4 linked regions of the Caenorhabditis elegans genome follow. The protein of the gene in region 3 purifies or fractionates together with the protein of the main gene of each other region. This does not show direct contact. Each region holds a gene or a part of one and is shown on either strand. Other genes may lie near its edges.

What was found.
Region 1: the proteins of cchl-1 (region 3) and Y76B12C.4 fractionate together in Caenorhabditis elegans (co-fractionation; one large-scale study listed by BioGRID). This does not show direct contact.
Region 2: the proteins of cchl-1 (region 3) and F20D6.11 fractionate together in Caenorhabditis elegans (co-fractionation; one large-scale study listed by BioGRID). This does not show direct contact.
Region 4: the proteins of cchl-1 (region 3) and cyc-2.2 fractionate together in Caenorhabditis elegans (co-fractionation; one large-scale study listed by BioGRID). This does not show direct contact.

The regions. Positions count from the first base shown.
Region 1 is NC_003282.8:1,970,091-1,974,604, forward strand, and holds Y76B12C.4 (Translation initiation factor IF-2), read right to left. Parts: upstream 2,282-4,514; coding exon 1,889-2,281; intron 1,093-1,888; coding exon 816-1,092; intron 769-815; coding exon 680-768; 3' UTR 591-679; downstream 1-590. Other genes in the region: Y48A5A.3 (Ubiquinol-cytochrome-c reductase complex assembly factor 2), read left to right, coding at 1-138; Y76B12C.3 (Selenoprotein F), read left to right, coding at 3,618-3,737, 3,790-3,885, 3,973-4,036.
Region 2 is NC_003283.11:8,195,994-8,201,088, forward strand, and holds F20D6.11 (Rieske domain-containing protein), read right to left. Parts: upstream 3,102-5,095; 5' UTR 3,092-3,101; coding exon 2,985-3,091; intron 2,905-2,984; coding exon 2,685-2,904; intron 2,562-2,684; coding exon 2,322-2,561; intron 2,280-2,321; coding exon 2,061-2,279; intron 2,012-2,060; coding exon 1,580-2,011; intron 1,532-1,579; coding exon 1,423-1,531; intron 1,375-1,422; coding exon 1,197-1,374; intron 1,152-1,196; coding exon 1,044-1,151; intron 996-1,043; coding exon 959-995; 3' UTR 781-958; downstream 1-780.
Region 3 is NC_003280.10:11,234,356-11,238,458, forward strand, and holds cchl-1 (putative holocytochrome-c-type synthase), read right to left. Parts: upstream 2,033-4,103; 5' UTR 2,020-2,032; coding exon 1,993-2,019; intron 1,940-1,992; coding exon 1,754-1,939; intron 1,709-1,753; coding exon 1,560-1,708; intron 1,508-1,559; coding exon 1,382-1,507; intron 1,337-1,381; coding exon 982-1,336; 3' UTR 697-981; downstream 1-696. Other genes in the region: cox-15 (EOG090X04TT), read right to left, coding at 210-332, 375-592; FUN14 domain-containing protein fndc-1, read right to left, coding at 2,430-2,538, 2,605-2,741, 2,794-2,964; rpn-9 (26S proteasome non-ATPase regulatory subunit 13), read right to left, coding at 3,252-3,353, 3,404-3,790, 3,840-4,103. UniProt on the Caenorhabditis elegans protein: Probable lyase that catalyzes the covalent linking of the heme group to the cytochrome C apoprotein to produce the mature functional cytochrome.
Region 4 is NC_003283.11:12,611,144-12,614,534, forward strand, and holds cyc-2.2 (putative cytochrome c 2.2), read right to left. Parts: upstream 1,076-3,391; 5' UTR 1,075-1,075; coding exon 1,003-1,074; intron 952-1,002; coding exon 742-951; intron 694-741; coding exon 604-693; 3' UTR 539-603; downstream 1-538. Other genes in the region: cubn-1 (Cubilin homolog), read left to right, coding at 204-313, 364-493, 1,365-1,496, 1,540-1,649, 1,704-2,236, 2,616-2,962, 3,014-3,200. UniProt on the Caenorhabditis elegans protein: Electron carrier protein. The oxidized form of the cytochrome c heme group can accept an electron from the heme group of the cytochrome c1 subunit of cytochrome reductase.

The sequences.
Region 1 (4,514 bases), on a different chromosome or scaffold from region 3:
TCCTCCGGCGTATTTGGAATGCGATTAGCCGATCTACAGGCGGCCTCGAGTGAAGAAAGCCGAAAACAGATGGGTCTACAGCCGAAAGTATCGATTTTCAAGCGATTATATCGATCCGTCGTGCCCGAGAAGAAATAATCGATTTTTATTGGATTTTTTTAGCTTTTTGAACGATAAAATTGCTTTATTTTCTGATTTCCCGTATTTTTCGATCGAAAACTTAAAAAAAAAATGTAAAAAACAGTCCGCTAAACAGGGCGCGCAAGCGGAATATCGGAGTGTCGTTTGTGTTTTGAATTTTAAAAATTTAAATTTTTGTTTAGAATTAATTTTTTTTGATTGAAATTTCGGTTTTTCCGCGGTTTCATCAGTTTTGTAGTGAAAAAACATTAAAAATAGCGGTTATTCATTAAAAAAAATCTAAAAATGATCGGCTGTTTCGATGATTTTTACGAATTACGCGCGTGAAATTTTAATTTTGTAGCGAAATTTGAAACTTTTCCAACCGAATCGCTTATTTTTAAGCGTTTTTTTTGTTAACTGTTCGCTATAAAAAATAAAAAATTCGACAGAATATCGGAACATCGTTTTTTTCCGAAATTTTTATTTTTAAAGCCAAATAGTTTATGAAAAATCAATAAATCAAAGCGAATTATTCATTTTAATAAAGGGAAAAAGTTCACAAAATCGTGCAGCACACCTTCTTCTTCGCCCGTATATCTTTAGGCTTTCGCTTTGTCGGCGGCGGAGGGGGGGCCGGTGGTCTCACTGAAAAATCAATAATTGATTTTTATTCTGAAAAATCGATAATTTACCCTTTTTCTTGGCGCTGCCGGAGGTGCCGGTGGCCACGGCAGCCTCCTTTTTCGTCTTTTTCATCGAACTTTTCTCCTTTTCCGTGCTGGGAGTCGTCGAGTTCTTCGTTTCCGTCGATTTATCGATTTTCTCCGTTTTCAATCGCTCTCGATCCCTCAGCTTTTTCTCCTTTTTCAACGCTTTCTTAATTTTCAAAATTTCCTCCTTCGATAGGTCCCCTTCGTCTTCGTCCTTTGATTTTTGCTTCTTTTCCATCGTTTCCTTCTCCCTTGGCGCCTGGAAAAAGGAGTAGTGAGTGAAATTTTATCGATTTTCTGTAGCAATTTTCAATATCGATCCACAACGATACATTTTCTTGTGAAAAATTACGCAAAATTATCGATTTTTCTACGAAAAAAAAATCGATAAATCCAAAAAATCTACGGGAAATATCCTTAAATCCTTTTTCACGGCCATTCGTCGATACACACGTGGTGCCACGTTTGATCTACCAAAAATGCGGAAATTTTTTGCCCAAATTATGTGACGAACTCCAGTCGGGACATGTAGCTGTGGAGATGATGAGGGTGGCCTAGATCACACTACCTAACCTGCAGTAGATCGAAGCCGATCCTGAAAGAAAATCTGTGGACGTCCCCCAAAGAAGCCGCCCGTGCCCTCGGGCTGGCCTATAAACCCTTCGATCCGGGCGGTGGAGCACATACGGCGGGCGTCTAGAACGGCGCTAGCGCCGCGTTGTTGCACAACAACAACAACAAAGTTGAGAACTCTGCGTCTCTTCTCCCGCTTTTTTTGTAGATATACGTAGATCAAGCCGAAATGATACACTCTGACGCCACGTGCACTGAGAGAAAAAATCCGAACAGCTCACGTGGTGTCGAGCTGACCGCGTGATCTACAAAAAATGCGGGAAGCGAGCCGCAAGGTTTCCCTCTGACGTCACACTTTTCTGGGCGAAATTTCCCGGATTTATTGTAGATCGAGCGGTGATGGGACAACCTTACACCATGTGGCAGCTTTGCAATTATCGATTTTCATTTGATTTTTCCATATAAAAATCAATAAATCAGACCTCTTCGAGTTCATCCTTCGTCTTAGTCTTCTCTCTTTCCTTCTCTTTTTCCTTCTCCTCAGTGACTTCCTTCGGTGGTTTTTCCTCCTTTTCCTCTTCCTTTTCTGCCTCTTTTTCCTCCTTATCCGCCTCGTTTTTCTCATGGGTTTTCTCTTTTTCCTTCTCTTTTTCCTTCTCCTTTTCCGCCGCCTCTTTCTCCGATTCCTTTTCCTCAAATTCGTCGATCAACTTGGGCCCTTCACGTGGCTTAGAGGGCACTTTTTTCGCCCGTTTTTTCTTTTCCGGAGCCCAGTCATCAATCTCACTCAGTCCGTCTGTCATATCATATCCAGGCTTTAGAATTACTTTACCCGATTTCGTGCACTGTGGTTGCTCGGCGCGGTGTGCTTCCATTTTTGAATCTGGAAATTTATGGCTCAGAATTGTTGTGGAGGCCCGTAGAATTGCTATGGGAGCACATTTTGCTGATTTTTAGGCTTAGGCTTATGCGTGGCCTTAGGCTTAGACATAGATTCATGCTTAGGCTTAGCCTCGAGCTTTTGCTTATGGTTAGGCAGGCTTAACTTTAGGCTTAGGCTTAGGTACAGGCTTAGGCTTAGATTCTGGCTTAGGCTTCGACTTTGGCTTAGGATTAGGCTTTAGACTTTAGGCTTAGGCTTTATGCTTAGGCTTAGGTTCAGGCCTAAGGTTAGGCTGAGGGGGGGGGGGCTTAGACCTAGACTTATCGGTGTCTGGGGAGAAAAAAAATTAAATCAAGAAATTTCAAGATATCAAAACTTTCTCTCAGCTATAAAAAACTTTAAAATTCTGCGAAAAAGGCTTTTGATGAGAATTTTCGGCAAATTCCCGGAAACATACGCTGGCCGAGTTTTCGCTTTTCCTAGGCCACCTAGAAAAGAAGCAAAAAAGTTACCTTTATGTGAATCGGTTTTGACTTTTCCAAGAAATCAGATTTTATCCTCGCCGTCTTTCCGCTAGCCGAGAAGAAAATAACAATAAATTTATTTTCTCACAGGTTGTCGGTTTTTTTTTTTTGAAAAATTTGAATTCTAAGTTCAATTCGAAGTTCAAAATGGCAATTTCACGGAATAATTATTCAATTTTTGTTGAAAATTAATTTTCTAGATTTAAATTAAAACATGCATTCAATTTGTCCTCTCTGAAGTTGTTCGGTTTTTGCGCCAGAAATACGGTACCAGGTCTCGACACGACAAATTTTTGTTAAATGGAAAACATGTGTGTGCGCCTTTAAAGAGTACTGTAATTTGTTGTCAAATACATTTTTATCGAAAAACTATTAAAAATCGATTAAAACCCCGAATATTTAAAATGACAGTACTCTTTAAAGGCGCACACCTTTTAGAATGAAAAAAAATCCTGTCGAGTCGAGACCCAGTACCGTATTTTCATCGCAGAAATCGAAAAATCGATAGTTTCCGACATTTTCGTGCTTTTTACCCAATTTTCCCCCCGAAAAATATGGATTTTTAGCTATATAAACTTGTACTTTTCCCCTATTTTCCCTCCCGTGAATGGGTTCCCTCCAAACTTTGCCCAAAACTGTCGTCAAATATGGTGTGGCGGTACCCGGCGGTGTTTGCACTGCTGACGTCGATTTGAGCCAATTTTGGAGCATTTTCCACGTATTTTAATGGGGATTTTCACTCATTTTTCATGGATTTTTTGCTATTCCAAAACAAAACAAAAAAAAATAAAAATTTCCAGCAAAATGTGGGTGATTTTCCTGCTGCTGGCCGCCGTGGTTTCGCCTATGTTCGGTGAAGTTGAAGAGTATAAAATTGATGTAGAGGAGTGCAAGGCGGCGGGATTCAATCCGGAGACTTTAAAGGTTTTTCTCCTGAAAATCTTGGCAAAAATCTGAAATTTTCGTAAATTTTCAGTGCGGATTATGCGAACGACTATCGGATTATCATCTGGAAACGCTGCTCACCGATTGTCTTCAGTGTTGTATTAAGGAAGAAGAGTTTAAGCACGAAGTACGCTTTAAAATTGGGATTTTTTTGTGAAAAAATCGATTTTTCCCGCTAGAAATCACCCAAAAATCGATTTTTTTTAAATTTCAGAAATATCCAACGGCAATTCTGGAAGTCTGCGAGTGCAATTTGGCTCGATTCCCACAAGTTCAAGGTGAAAATTGATTGGAAAAAGAGAATATGGCCCGAAAAATACCTCAAAAGCGAAAAAAACTAGCTTTTCACACTAACTGTCGATGATTTACGCGGCTCGTGTACTCCCCGAGGAGAAGATTTTGTAGTTTTTGGCAGAAATTCTTGATTTTGAGCCATTTTTGTTAAAATGTTTCGTTTTCAACGTTAAAAATGCTAATTTATCCTTATTTTTAGTATTTGAACATTAAAAAATGCCCGAAATAAGGGATATTTTGCCAAAAAAACCATAAAATCCTACTACTCGCGGAGTACACACGCTGCGTAAATCTACACGGGGCTGTGCTAGAGCTCATTTTTCTGAAAATCGAAAAATTCTGTTTCCCTATTTTTCGAGAGGATAAAAATCATTTTTCCAAGAATTTTCTGAAATTTCTCTATTTTTAGAAAATAAAACTATTTCATTCGAAAAGAAAGTTTCTGCCGATTTTTTGAAAAAA
Region 2 (5,095 bases), on a different chromosome or scaffold from region 3:
TCAAGTTCAAAAAAGTTTTATCATATAATCACATCGATATCGAGCAAAGGGTCTGTGGAGCCAAGTCTCTGGAGGTTTTCTCTAATGCTACGTTGTCTATACTCTCTCACAATCAAACACTCTCTAATATCTCACGGACCCGATGACAAAGAGGAGGACTCGTCGACACATGTGACAAACGGTGGCGGTATATCCAGTGGAGTGAAATGTAGGTGATAGACCAAGAGTGAGAGAGATGAAAAAGAAAGAAGGTGAAGAAGGTACGAGTTGGATGATATCAAGACACAGAACGACAAGTTTATCTCTATTAGCAAGGGTCTCCGGATGAGCAAAGAGTTAGTGATAAACGGAAGAGTGAGTGCCTCTCGTCGCAATCAAAACCAATGTTTTATCACCACCGGGCCAAGAAATGAAGAAGTGAAATGAGAGAATAAGCCGGGTAAGAAGGTTGGTATCCGGGTTGAGTCAAATGCAAGTCAAATGAGTGGATTAAGTTACAAGTCTTATCACAGTTTGCTGTCTGGGATTTGAGACGTGACACTGCTCATGATTTGTGAGTTTTGGCATTTTCACAAATCAAACTAAAGAGTTGTAGTGTAGTTATTTATTGCATGTGAAAATTACACTCGTTTTATGAACTTCCTTGTTGAAAACGTTCATTTTATGGTTACTGAAGATCAGTCTCTACAGAAGAGCATCTCAATTGAGTTTATACATTTTCAGAGTTTTGACTGGTTCTGTGGTTTTTTGTGAAACAATCAGGTGCATTGTTATATTTCTAATATTTCTCAGTTTTTATTAAAGGAAGAGCCAATGGTTTTTTTTTTCAGAAATCGGATTTTTGGGAACAGCGAATACATATAAATCAGTTTTTAGTTCATTCCATAAAAAACACAAAAAAAATTTTTTTTAATCAAACAAATAGTTTATTTATTTACTGCTGAATTCCTACACTCGTCTATAGCAGAAGATGTCCCCAAGTGTGATCGCTGCTGCTGCAAGTTTATTTGGGTAATTGCATTAATGTTTAAATTAAAACTAACTTTTTCAAATCCTTCAGAGTGACTTCGATTCCTTTTTTGAAAATTTCAGCGAACTGGGAGGCAACACTGGATGGACCACCAGCAGCTACAGCTACGACTTTGTCTTTTCTTAAAGTTTTTACTAACATGAAAAATGTATAATTGTTCACTTACTTCAAGAAGTATCGAATGAAAGTTCCAGTTTCAGGATCTCCATTAGTGTATTCCTTTGTGGATCCTTGATTGCATCCTGAGAACTTCAAACCAAACGCAAAGAAAAACAGAGTCCAAAAGTATGGAACAATAGGTCCAGGTTGAGGTTTTCCAACAATAGTGTATCCAAGATGTTGTCCTAAAATATTAAACATCGATAGTTAAATTTGAATATCTTCTGGTTTACCATGTGCTTGAGCAGTTTGGAAGTGTTGAATATTGATACTGTCAATATCCCAAAGTGGGAGAGGAGCTGTGACAACATCACCCATTGCGAAGATGTAGCTGATATTAGTCTGAAGTATTAGAGATTAAAAAAGCATCATAAAATAAACTAAACCCACTCTAAACTTTTCATCAACTTCAATGAATCCTCTATTGTCCAATTTGATACCAGATCCTTCCAAAAACTTAGTGGCTGGGGTAACACCAATTCCACAAACAAGAAGATCTACATCAAGCTCTTTTCCATTCTCTAAAATAACTTTTGAGACTTCTCCTTGATCGTTTCCACGAAGAGCAACCACATTTGCAGCCAGCTCGAACTTTACTCCTTTTTCTTCAAACTTCAGACGGATTCCTTTACCAATATCTGATCCAAAAACTGGAAGAGGCTCCGGAGTATTGGAAATAACTGTAACTGACGCAGCTTTTTCTGCCAGAGCGGATGCCACTTCCATTCCGATAAATGATGAGCCTACACAGACGACGTGCTTCCCAGGATGAAGGTTGGAAATTATGTTGGCTTCTTCTACTTTACGAAGGTAGCAAATATTCTGGAAATTGCACATGTTTATATTTTTCAGATTTTCGTTTTACTCTCACTTTCAAATCTGATCCGGGTACTTGCAACTTTCTAACATTTCCTCCAGTAGCAATAATTAGTTTTGAATAAACAACAGTTTCTCCGTTCGATAAACTGACTTCTCTACTTTTATGATTTACTGCAATCACCGATGTTTTCAAAAGAAATTTGACATTTCTCTCTTCGTAAAACGCATCATCTTTTCTCAAACGAATATCCTCTCCGGTTGCTGCTGGTTTCTGAAAATCATAGGTAATTTAGAAAAAAAGATTTAACATTACCTTAGACAGCAAGACTCTATCATAAGGCGGCAAAGACTCTTCTGAGATTACTAAAATTGGGGTTATAAGACCATTAAGTCGAGAATGCTCAATGAATGTAGCTGTAGCTACACCACCACCGATAATCACAACTGGTCGATCATTACACTGCTTCATTTTTGGAAGATGTCGAATTCGACGATCAGAACCTAGCTTCTTTTCAGTTGTCTTGATAATAAGGTTTCCATCGTTGACAGTAACCTGGAAAAATATAATTGTTTGATTACAAAAAAAGGACAACAAAGTTTAATCAGTCACCTCCAACTTTTCAAAAAAGAATTTGTCCAAAAATGCGAAAACAATAAATTTTTGGGTGCCACTTACCACATAAGAATGAAGACTGTCAAAGCCTGGATAGTCTTCAATATCTCCCGATCGAACATTAAAGCAAGCTCCATGAAGTGGGCACCTAATTCTTCCTTTTGCATATGTTCCATTCTCCAATGAGAAATTGTAATGAGAACACAATCCATTAATAGCGTAAATTCGACCCTCGTCGTTAATCACCAAAACTTTACGATCACGAACTTCGAACATTTTCTTACTGGAAAAAGACAATGTTATTTTTTAAATTTTCTTTTTAAAACTTTAGAGAACTGTTTTTAAAAAGTTGAAATTACTTACGTTCCTGGCGGTACATCTTCGATTCTACCGAGAATTTCCTCCACTGCCGGAGAATCATCATTGTCACATTCCGGCTCAACAGGGGTTAGCCAATTGGCGAGAGCCATTGTTATTATACTGGAATATTAAAGAAATGTACGTGTAAATTCGTTTTTTTTTCAGAAAATCAAGGAAAAGAATGATAAATAAACGTAGTCATCAGTCATCAATTTTTGTTATCAATAAGAGTCTATAGATGAAAGTTTAATTGAAAAAACGTACAGTTTTCAAACTTTGTCCTAGAGGTTTCGGGCAAATTCTTCGTACAAAAAATAACAAAAATATAAAAATGGGGCTACAGAGACCAATTGGAGCACTTTGAGTTGTAGGAACAAGAAAAAGGAAAAGAGAAGCACACGAAAGGCTGGGTCTATTTGCTAGGCGGCAAATGGAAATGCTGACAAATGCCTGACACTGGCATGTATCTAGGATAGTTGACCACAGAGAAAAAGAAACTTTGTGATCGTTACAATTTTTAGTTCACACCTTGTATACTTATTAAACTAGGGTAAAAGAAAGTCAAGGTGAAAGCCAAAAAATGCTTTTAAGTCTTGAAATACCAGAGCTTCAAAGAGAAAAATCAACGAAGATGTGGGAAAACAACAACATATTTCAAAACATCCACGTTATCAGTTTTTGGTAAACAATATTTGTTTGCGTGGAAGGTTTTTGTAAACGAAGCGTTATTTTCTGAATTATTTTTTTTTTCTGATTAATCGTAATGGTTAGAAATGTTTTCGAATTTTTTATTTGAAACTATGTTTCTGTACTTACGGAAAATTTTCCAAAACGTTTAATTTTCAGTATGTCCAATTTATACATCAAAGACTCTAAACTTTAGATTTAAATCTTATTGAAATTAGTAAATTTTGAATGAAAATCTCGACAATAAACCACTAGAAGATCATCAAGGTTAAACGAAGTAAACAAGAAAAACTGGAGAAGAAAAAACGTCGAAACGATCAGTTGAAGGAAACATGATCCTTCATATTGGAACGAAACGCTCAAAAATCAAAATTTGTCGTTTGAAAGTTTAACCTTTAAGTTTGAAAATGATACGTCTTAATTGTTTTTTTTAAAAATCGGTATCACTAGCTTTAAAAAAAAGTGCAAAAACGTTAAAATGGAAAATCCCTTTTCTTGAAAACCGAGAGATGAAGAGAACCGAGACATACAAACAAAACTCTCCGTAGAACGGCCTATGGTGACACTCACAAACAACAACATAATTGGGAGAATTGAGAGAAATAGTGGGAAAATGCGGAAATTTAGGAAAAAGAGGTTCAATGAACATATTTATAGAGACAATTGTTTTTGGACGGGAAAATGTGAACTTATGGGCTATGAAAATTTTTATAAAAGTACGATTACTTCCTTGCCGGAATTTCAATTTCAAATAATCAAAGCTGATAATTTAGTTCAAAATAATATTCCACAATAATCATATAATGTTTAATTTTCAGTAGTTTCATTCGGGATAGTTGTAAAGAACAATTTTGTGAACGATAATTGCAAAAAAATCGTCTTTTATCCAAAAATCTCATGGCAAACAAAATTATATTTCAAGCTTGTTTTCAAGCTTTAGAATCACATTTTTCAAGCTTTAGAATCAAAGAATCAGAAATCATAAGAATTTCATTTTAAGCTTTGATTACCACATAAATCATTTGGTATGGATGAATGATGCTTTTCGTTTTTTGGTTTTGTGACCATATTTTATGAGTCCACCGGAATTTTATAAAAGCTCGGGTCTCTGAAAAAACTGCTATAAGCCAAGCTGAACATTCGCTTGAAACAAGCGTGAAATGAAGTATACTGTCAGTTTGTTCAATTATTAGCACGGCAGTTGGCTATTGTCATTGAAAGTGAATGTTTGAGTGAGTCTCTACGGATTGAAACTTTTTTTTTTGAAGTTTGATGAATGGTTTGTGAAACAATATTTTTGTGTCTCGTTTTTTATTTTATAAAGTCAAATATTCCAAAAGTCCAATAGTGAATCACAAACTTTGGTTTATGTTTTGCAGCATTGTGAAGAAGTTGTTATTAGTCTCGATGCCATGATGAAGCTACAA
Region 3 (4,103 bases):
GCGACGGAATTTTTATTGATTTTTCATAGTTTGCAAATGATTTAATCAAAAAACTATTTATGAAAAATCAACGAAAATTTCACAGCACCGTAATTTTGAAATTACAGTACTCTTCAAAGACGCACGCCGTTTCTCATTTAACGAAAATTGTCGCGGTGAGACCTGGTACCGTAGTTTTGGCGCAAAATTTGGTGTCTTTTTTATCTTACTATTTATATTCTGGATAAGCTTTATATTTCTCAAATTCCTCTTCCCATTGCTTCTGTCCGAATGGCGGTTTCATCGTTCTGAACAGATCCCAGTTCACCATGCTCAGTCCTGATTCGGTTAATCTGAAATTTTATATTTAGTTGAAAAAATACATTAATAAGCACCTGGTGACTCCTCCAAGCGCCACAGCACCGTAGCACATTCCAGCACATCCCATAAGCCACCATCCGATGCGTTTTCTGGATTTGTCGTCGACATCTTTCACCGATATTCCAAAGTTTCTTCGGAATCCTTGCCTCACATTCTGGATTCCTTGGCTCAACAGAGAAACTCTTGGAAGTTGGGAGAACTTGGTCAGCTGTTTGCTGGCTAGCAGCCACATGGCTTCTAAATTTTTGGAACCTGACAACTGTCTGTTGTTGTGATATCTAAAGATCTCTAGGGTGATTATTCTTCCGCTTTTCTATAAATTTCAAACTTTCCGAATAACCAGACCATTTTTCATTGGGAGAATCGATAAGAAAAGAAGGAAAAACGGTATTTCGGTGGAACACAGTAAAGTAACGGGTAGTTGACGGAAGACACTGAAAGATCATGAGCAAACGGGGCTCCATGCGGAGAAAAAAGACAATTAACAGCAAACAATGATAACGAGGGGGAAAAAAAGAACACTAATCTATCTACGAAATATGCTAATTGCGAAACTGTTATTAGGCTTATGGAGCGGTGGGTAAATTATTGGAAATAATTTTGATGATAATGCGATACTTATTAATGGTTGACATTGTGTCCTTCAGTTGGTGGAATCGGCAGGCTCGGTGTGAATCCAAGTGTCTCGAATTTGAATCTCCAATAAGCAACAACCATTCGATCCCAGATGTTTCCAATATCATTCACGGCCGGTCGAACATCAAGAATAGTGAAAAGCTTTGAGCTTGGATCCACAGCACCACCATCGTAGTAGTCAATGACGTACTGAACTTGCTTGGTTCCGCATCTATCAACAATCCAATCGTGACGATCGAATGGGAGATCGTATCCGAGGAACAAGTTGCGGAAACGAGCTCTTGGCGATAGGTTCTTGGCATCTCCTTTGAAGCTTTTCAGTTTCGGCTCTGCGCATTCCCTGAAATTATAAATTATTCAGATGTTGGAATTTTCATGAGCTTACGGATGAAGAAGATTCTCCCATTTCAACACCTCTCTCCATGCCTCCTCGTTGTTAGCGTTATGGATGCTGATAATGTTTTCCATGTCGCTTTTGCTCAGCGAGTCATCTTGCCATCTCCATCCTTTTCTGAAATTCAAATTTAAAATCAACAATAAACATTTATCAATCAAAAACTCACTTCAGCATGGCGTTCCAGAACATTTGGGGACTTGGATAGGTCCAGGTTTCAGTTTCTGTTCCAGCTTTCGGGATTGTAGACTTCTCTCGTTTCGTTGGAAGTGCGAATGGCTGATCTGGGGCTGGCTTTTGATTTGGATGTTCGAGCTCCTGAATTTTCAAAGTTGGCTTCAGAAAACTCTATTTTGAACTCACATTGTTGAGTGGATTGATAGAAGCCTTGTCAGCACCAACCGGGCAAGCGCCACCAGCTCCACAATTCTCTCCAGATGCAGCAGCTCTCTGTTCAGGTGTTAATGGGCATTGAGATCCTCCTCCAGCAGCAGCCATGCTGTGTTGAGCCTTACGAATTCTCTCAGCATCGGCGTTGGCATCTTGCACCTGAAAATAAATTCATACGTGTTTTCTTTTAACTGAAATTATAGAAAACTCACCTTTGGCGTCGATTGTGAAGAGCCCATGATGTAATTTTATCTGAAAACTAAACTATAGTTGGGGAAATGACGGTTAAATAGGCAGGTGGCGCACGGAAATGATGAAACTAGAGAAAAAAGGCCTTAAAAATAAACTACGCGTCATACGGGCCGCGTAACTACGGAGTGTCGTTGCAAACTTACGTTTCAAAAAATTTTCAGCACAAAATCGAGTTCAAAAAGAGAAAAGTTATGGAATAAACCATAAGTTTTGCAAGAATTAAAAGATGAGAAGGTAAGGGTGTATAATTTATCAGTCAATGTGAAGAAAAAAATAGACAGCATGACTAGACAATGGAGAGTGAGAAAAAGTTATTTATGCATCATATCGAGCAACTCGATTATAAATAGTACAGATCGTAGATAAAAACCAACTGAAGCTTCACAATTTTCCACATTTAGGCGACGCTAAATCCAATCAGCATCCCAGCTGCGAATCCGCCAAGAATCCACCGGTATTCGGAGACAAATGAATCGGAAATGTTGATAACTTTCTTGCCGGATACTCTGAAAAATTGAATAATATACGATTTTCGTTTTATTCTATTTTTTTTTCGTAAAATTCAAGCTTACTTGTTCATGACGGACTTGTGTAGATTTTTCATGTCTCGTTCGATTTTTGATTCGTTCAGCGTGATGTATCCTTTGTGAATAGCGAATTGAGCCAACAGGAAAGAGATTCCCACTGTGGCAGCAACAAGACGTCCTCCCTGAAAATATTTAAAAATTAAATATTTCTCTAGAACCACCAATTTTAAATACCTTGGTGACAAAATATCCAGTCACTGTCCCGAATCCAGCACCAACACCCAGCTGGACCATCGGCTGCTGCTTTTTCAGATCAACAACGTAGTAGAGGACTGTATCGATGGCATCACTCACACCTTTTCCGGCTTTTCCACTGCCTCCGTCGTTTTTTGAAAGATCAACCATGGCTGGAACAATCACAGTACTACATTACTCGAAGACGAAGAGAACCCGAATGTTAAGTATTGAAAAGTACTAGTGAACTATTGACACGGTGTTAGTCACATCTGACATCGAGAAAATTCAATATATTCACAGTCGATTAATTTATGAATTCAAATAAATACACACAGAAAGAAGACTGAACGATCTTGAAATTGTAGAATACACGTAGCAGTGTAATTATAAAAATAGAGGATTCCGGGATTGGGATGGGGGAGCATGGAGAAAATAAATTAAAGAAATGAGATGATTTAATTTTGAGTGAGAATCTCGCGTGCCTCTTTGCTGACGATTCCTTCCATGGAGTTGACATCGTTCCTCCATGCGGAAATGCGAGTCGCCATTTGCATTATCTGAAAAAAAGAAAATAAGTATTTTAAAAACTTATAATCAATTCTTATACCTGAGGATTATCTAAAACTCTTGGCTGCACCCATGTCACGTAGACAACTTGCTCAACTTGATTGATATCTCCACGAATGAGATCCTTGCTCAACGCCTTCATCACCAAGAACTCAACTTCGTCGAATGGGATCTGGCACTTCGTGGCGATTTCTTTGAATGAAACGCTTCTGGCTTTGGTTGGACGAGAGACTGCAAGTTCCATGACAGCCATCAGACGGATTTTGGCAGTCAGGAAATCCTTTTGCTTCTTCAAATCGTCCCAGCCTCCCCAATCTCCTTCGAGCGAGAAGAAGCGCGTCAAATCTCCCGAATTGAAGGCAAGAAGCACGTCCACGATCCAGCGTTCACGAGTTCCTTCGAGCGATTTGAGGATGGGGTGAGCAAGCTGAAAAAACCGTTTATTGGGGGAATTTAAATTGAGAGTTTCAACAAACCAATTCTCCGAAGTTGTGCACGTTTTCTCCCAGAAGAGCAGCGAAACCGAGAAGAACCGCATGGACTTGCTTCTGTTCTGTTGTCAGATTATTGGCGTCCTCAACTCCAAGATAACGAAGAGCTTCGCGATAATATCCAGCGAAGTCTCCAACTTCACGAAGATATAAAGATGAGACGCGGTAGAACGGGGCATGAACTTCTGTAACTCCGACAAGTGAGTCCACTTCGTGTTGTGTCGAATCGATTTGAGTTCGAATGCTCTT
Region 4 (3,391 bases), on a different chromosome or scaffold from region 3:
GCTTAACAGTTTTTTCATTAAAACCGAACACAAATTCAACGGCCCACTAGTTACTCATAACCTAAACATTGGCAGGTGTTCTCTTACATAATCTGTTATAAACAAATGGATCGTCTCAATTTCCAATCAGGTATCAATGACATAAACAAATTATTCACCCTCCACCGTGCAACTCCATTAATTTCATTTCATTTTCGCAACAAATGATACCTAACTTACAGTTATTTCTTTCATTAATACTATTCGGCTTATTAAATCATGTATCTTCAATTGACTATGAAGAAATACACATCGAAGATTCATATGAAACAAGGTAACGAATCCTTTAATTTTTTTTCAAAATTACGTCCGAAAACATTTCAGATCACGTATTCTAATGGTTGATGGAAATGTGTGGTTGCATGCCGGAAAGGATAAAAATATAACGTTCAAAACGACTGGAAATGGAAGAATATATGTGGACGAAACAGATGTTTCCAAACTTCCAGATATTGTAGGTAGACTGCTGAAATTATCCAAAAAAAAAATGAACGAGCTTCTACAAAACATTTATTTTTGATACGTTGCTTTGCTTAACACACAGATTTCTTATTTAGTAGAGGCTTATGCCGATGGTTTCTTGGCAGCTTCCACTTCAATAAATTTGATGAGATCAGCTCGTTCGTCAGCTTTCTTCAAACCAGCGAAGACCATCTGAAAATTTCTTATTAATACTCCATCGCACTTCCTAGAAAATCCTACCTTAGTTCCGGGGATGTACTTTTTCGGATCAGCCAAATAGTCGAAAAGTGTTTGTCTGTCCCATACAACTCCTTTATTCTTGTTGGCAGCCGAGTAGTCAAATCCAGCAACTTGTCCGGATTGTCTTCCAATCACTCCGTTCAATGTTGGTCCAGTCTTTGTTTGCAATGAGTTGACAACGTGACATTGCTCGCAACGTTGTTTGAAGATCTGAAAATCAATAGGTTTTCTGGGAACACTATAATGAAAAATTTAACTAACCTTCTTTCCTTTCTCATTGTCTCCTTCTGGAATAGCTCCACCGGATGCCGTATCAGACTTCTTCTTGCCCATGTTTCAAGAACTGATTAAAACATAGACGGTCAGATTAGAAAAAGGAACGAAACGTGGATTACGAGTAAGAGTTGGAATTAGATAGTCGGAGATCACGCAAAAATTTACTTTTTGACAACTATTTAAAAAGAATCACTTTCCTGAGAAACGGTCACGTAAATTTTGATAATTAAGTTCTATTATTTTTATAAAACTTTTCAAAATGAATAATTGTTTGAAAATGTTTGAACTATGGAAGTTTTTGAAAATTAACTCGAATTACAATTTTCAATATTCAAAATAATTTTCAGGCATCTTTCAAGCAACTTGTTGGACGTATTGAGAACACTTCTCAAATGTTCACCACTTTGAAAAGTCGCCAGGACACGCAGACTTCTGCAATGAGAGTGGTTTTAAATTCTGCAAAACATTATCTAGTAGCGGTAATTCCATACATTTTTTTCTCTTTTTGAAATCAATTTTTAGCTTCGAAATATGACACTCGAAGTGAATATCTTGAAGAAGTGGAAAACTGATAAAATGGCCAGAGACATGAGGAGACGGGGATTATTGGTGAAAATGACACGTCAAATCATGTAAGACACAACAAGTTAGGTTTGACTATTTTTTATAAATTGTTAACTTTCAAGAGGAATCAACAAATTGATAGCAATAAACGCGTGCGATCCGAACAAATGTAGTAATGGAGGCACATGTATCCCATCTTTTGGCGCCAAATTCACTTGTCTTTGTCCTCCACATTTCACCGGTACAACTTGTGAAGCTGACATCGATGAATGCTCAGTATACAATGGTACAACTGCTGGATGTCAGAACAATGGAACATGTATCAATAACCGTGGCGGATTTGAATGTCAGTGCCAATCCGGATATCATGGATCTCTTTGTCAGTATCATATGTCCGCTTGCTCGAAAACTTTTGAATTGTGTGGTCCACATGGGCATTGTATTGAGAGTATTGTGGATCCAACTGGTCAGTCATCTTCCGATACAACTACGTACAAGTGTATTTGTGATTGGGGTTTCAAGGTTTCAAGTGATAAGAACAATCCAACGTGTGTTGATGTCAATGAATGCGAATCAAATCCATGTCATCCAGGAGTTGATTGTATTAATTTGCCTGGATCGTTTGTGTGTTCCGGATGTCCAAAAGGATATAAAAGTAAGTTAGAATTATATATGTTCAATCAAATCAAAAATAAAATAATTTTTTTGGTTTAATTCTTGTCTAGAAAATATATACTCGTATCCAAAACGTTTTCATAAAATAGGTAAGTAGGCATTTAAATAGGTCAATAGGTGTGTGGTAGGCATGAGGTAGACACGTACGCCTGAACAAGTGCCTACCCTGTATAACACTTACAAATTTCAAGCTTTTTTTGTGAAAATACTTGTTTGGATTTCTCAGTTCCGAGAATGAGGAGAGAAAGTCTTATAAACTTCGGCTTAACAATGTGAAAAATCAGAATTTGTTAGTTTGAAGGTGTCGAAAAATGTACTGAATATCTGTCATTGAAATCCAAAAAGTAAAATAAATTCAGCCGATGGAAATGTTTGTATTGATGTCAACGAATGTGAAGGTGAAATTCGTGTATGCTCTCCGCTTTCAAAATGTCATAACACTCTTGGCAGTTATTATTGTGATTCGTGTCCGACTGGATACTCCGGCGATGGAGGAAATTGTGTGAAAGATGATAGTTGTGTCAAAAACAAATGCCATAAATTAGCAACATGCAAGGTAACTGACGACGGATACAGTGCTGTTGGAGACTACACTTGCTACTGTCCAGATGGATATGTTGGTGACGGAATTGGAGAGGAAGGATGTGTTAAGTCAGCAAGTAACGTTTGCCAGAACCACAATTGTGTTAATGCTGGGAAATGCAAGGTAACACAAATGAAGACAAGTAAGCACTGTTACTCAAAAAATAGTTTTCAGCCAACAAGCGACACCGAATATAAATGTGAATGTGAAGCTGGTTTTCTTGGAAAGTTCTGTGAGAAAACATCACCGTGCCAAACGAATCCTTGCAAAAATGGAGGAACTTGTATTGCCGTTGAAAATTCTGCTTATTGCGACTGTCCAGAGCACTTCTTTGGTAGGGCATGCGAAGAAGAGGAAGAACGTAAGAAAATTCATTAATAAAATTTTTATTGCTTGTTTTCTGTACAAGGAGCGGCCCAGCTTTAGCCTTGGGCAAACTTAGTATAGACTTTTGAACATATTTTGGATCTAACTGCTGGTAGGTTTCACAGGCAGAGTTGTTAAAAAAGTGGACTCACCATGCCACGCTCTTCAGTCAAGATTCTACAGTAT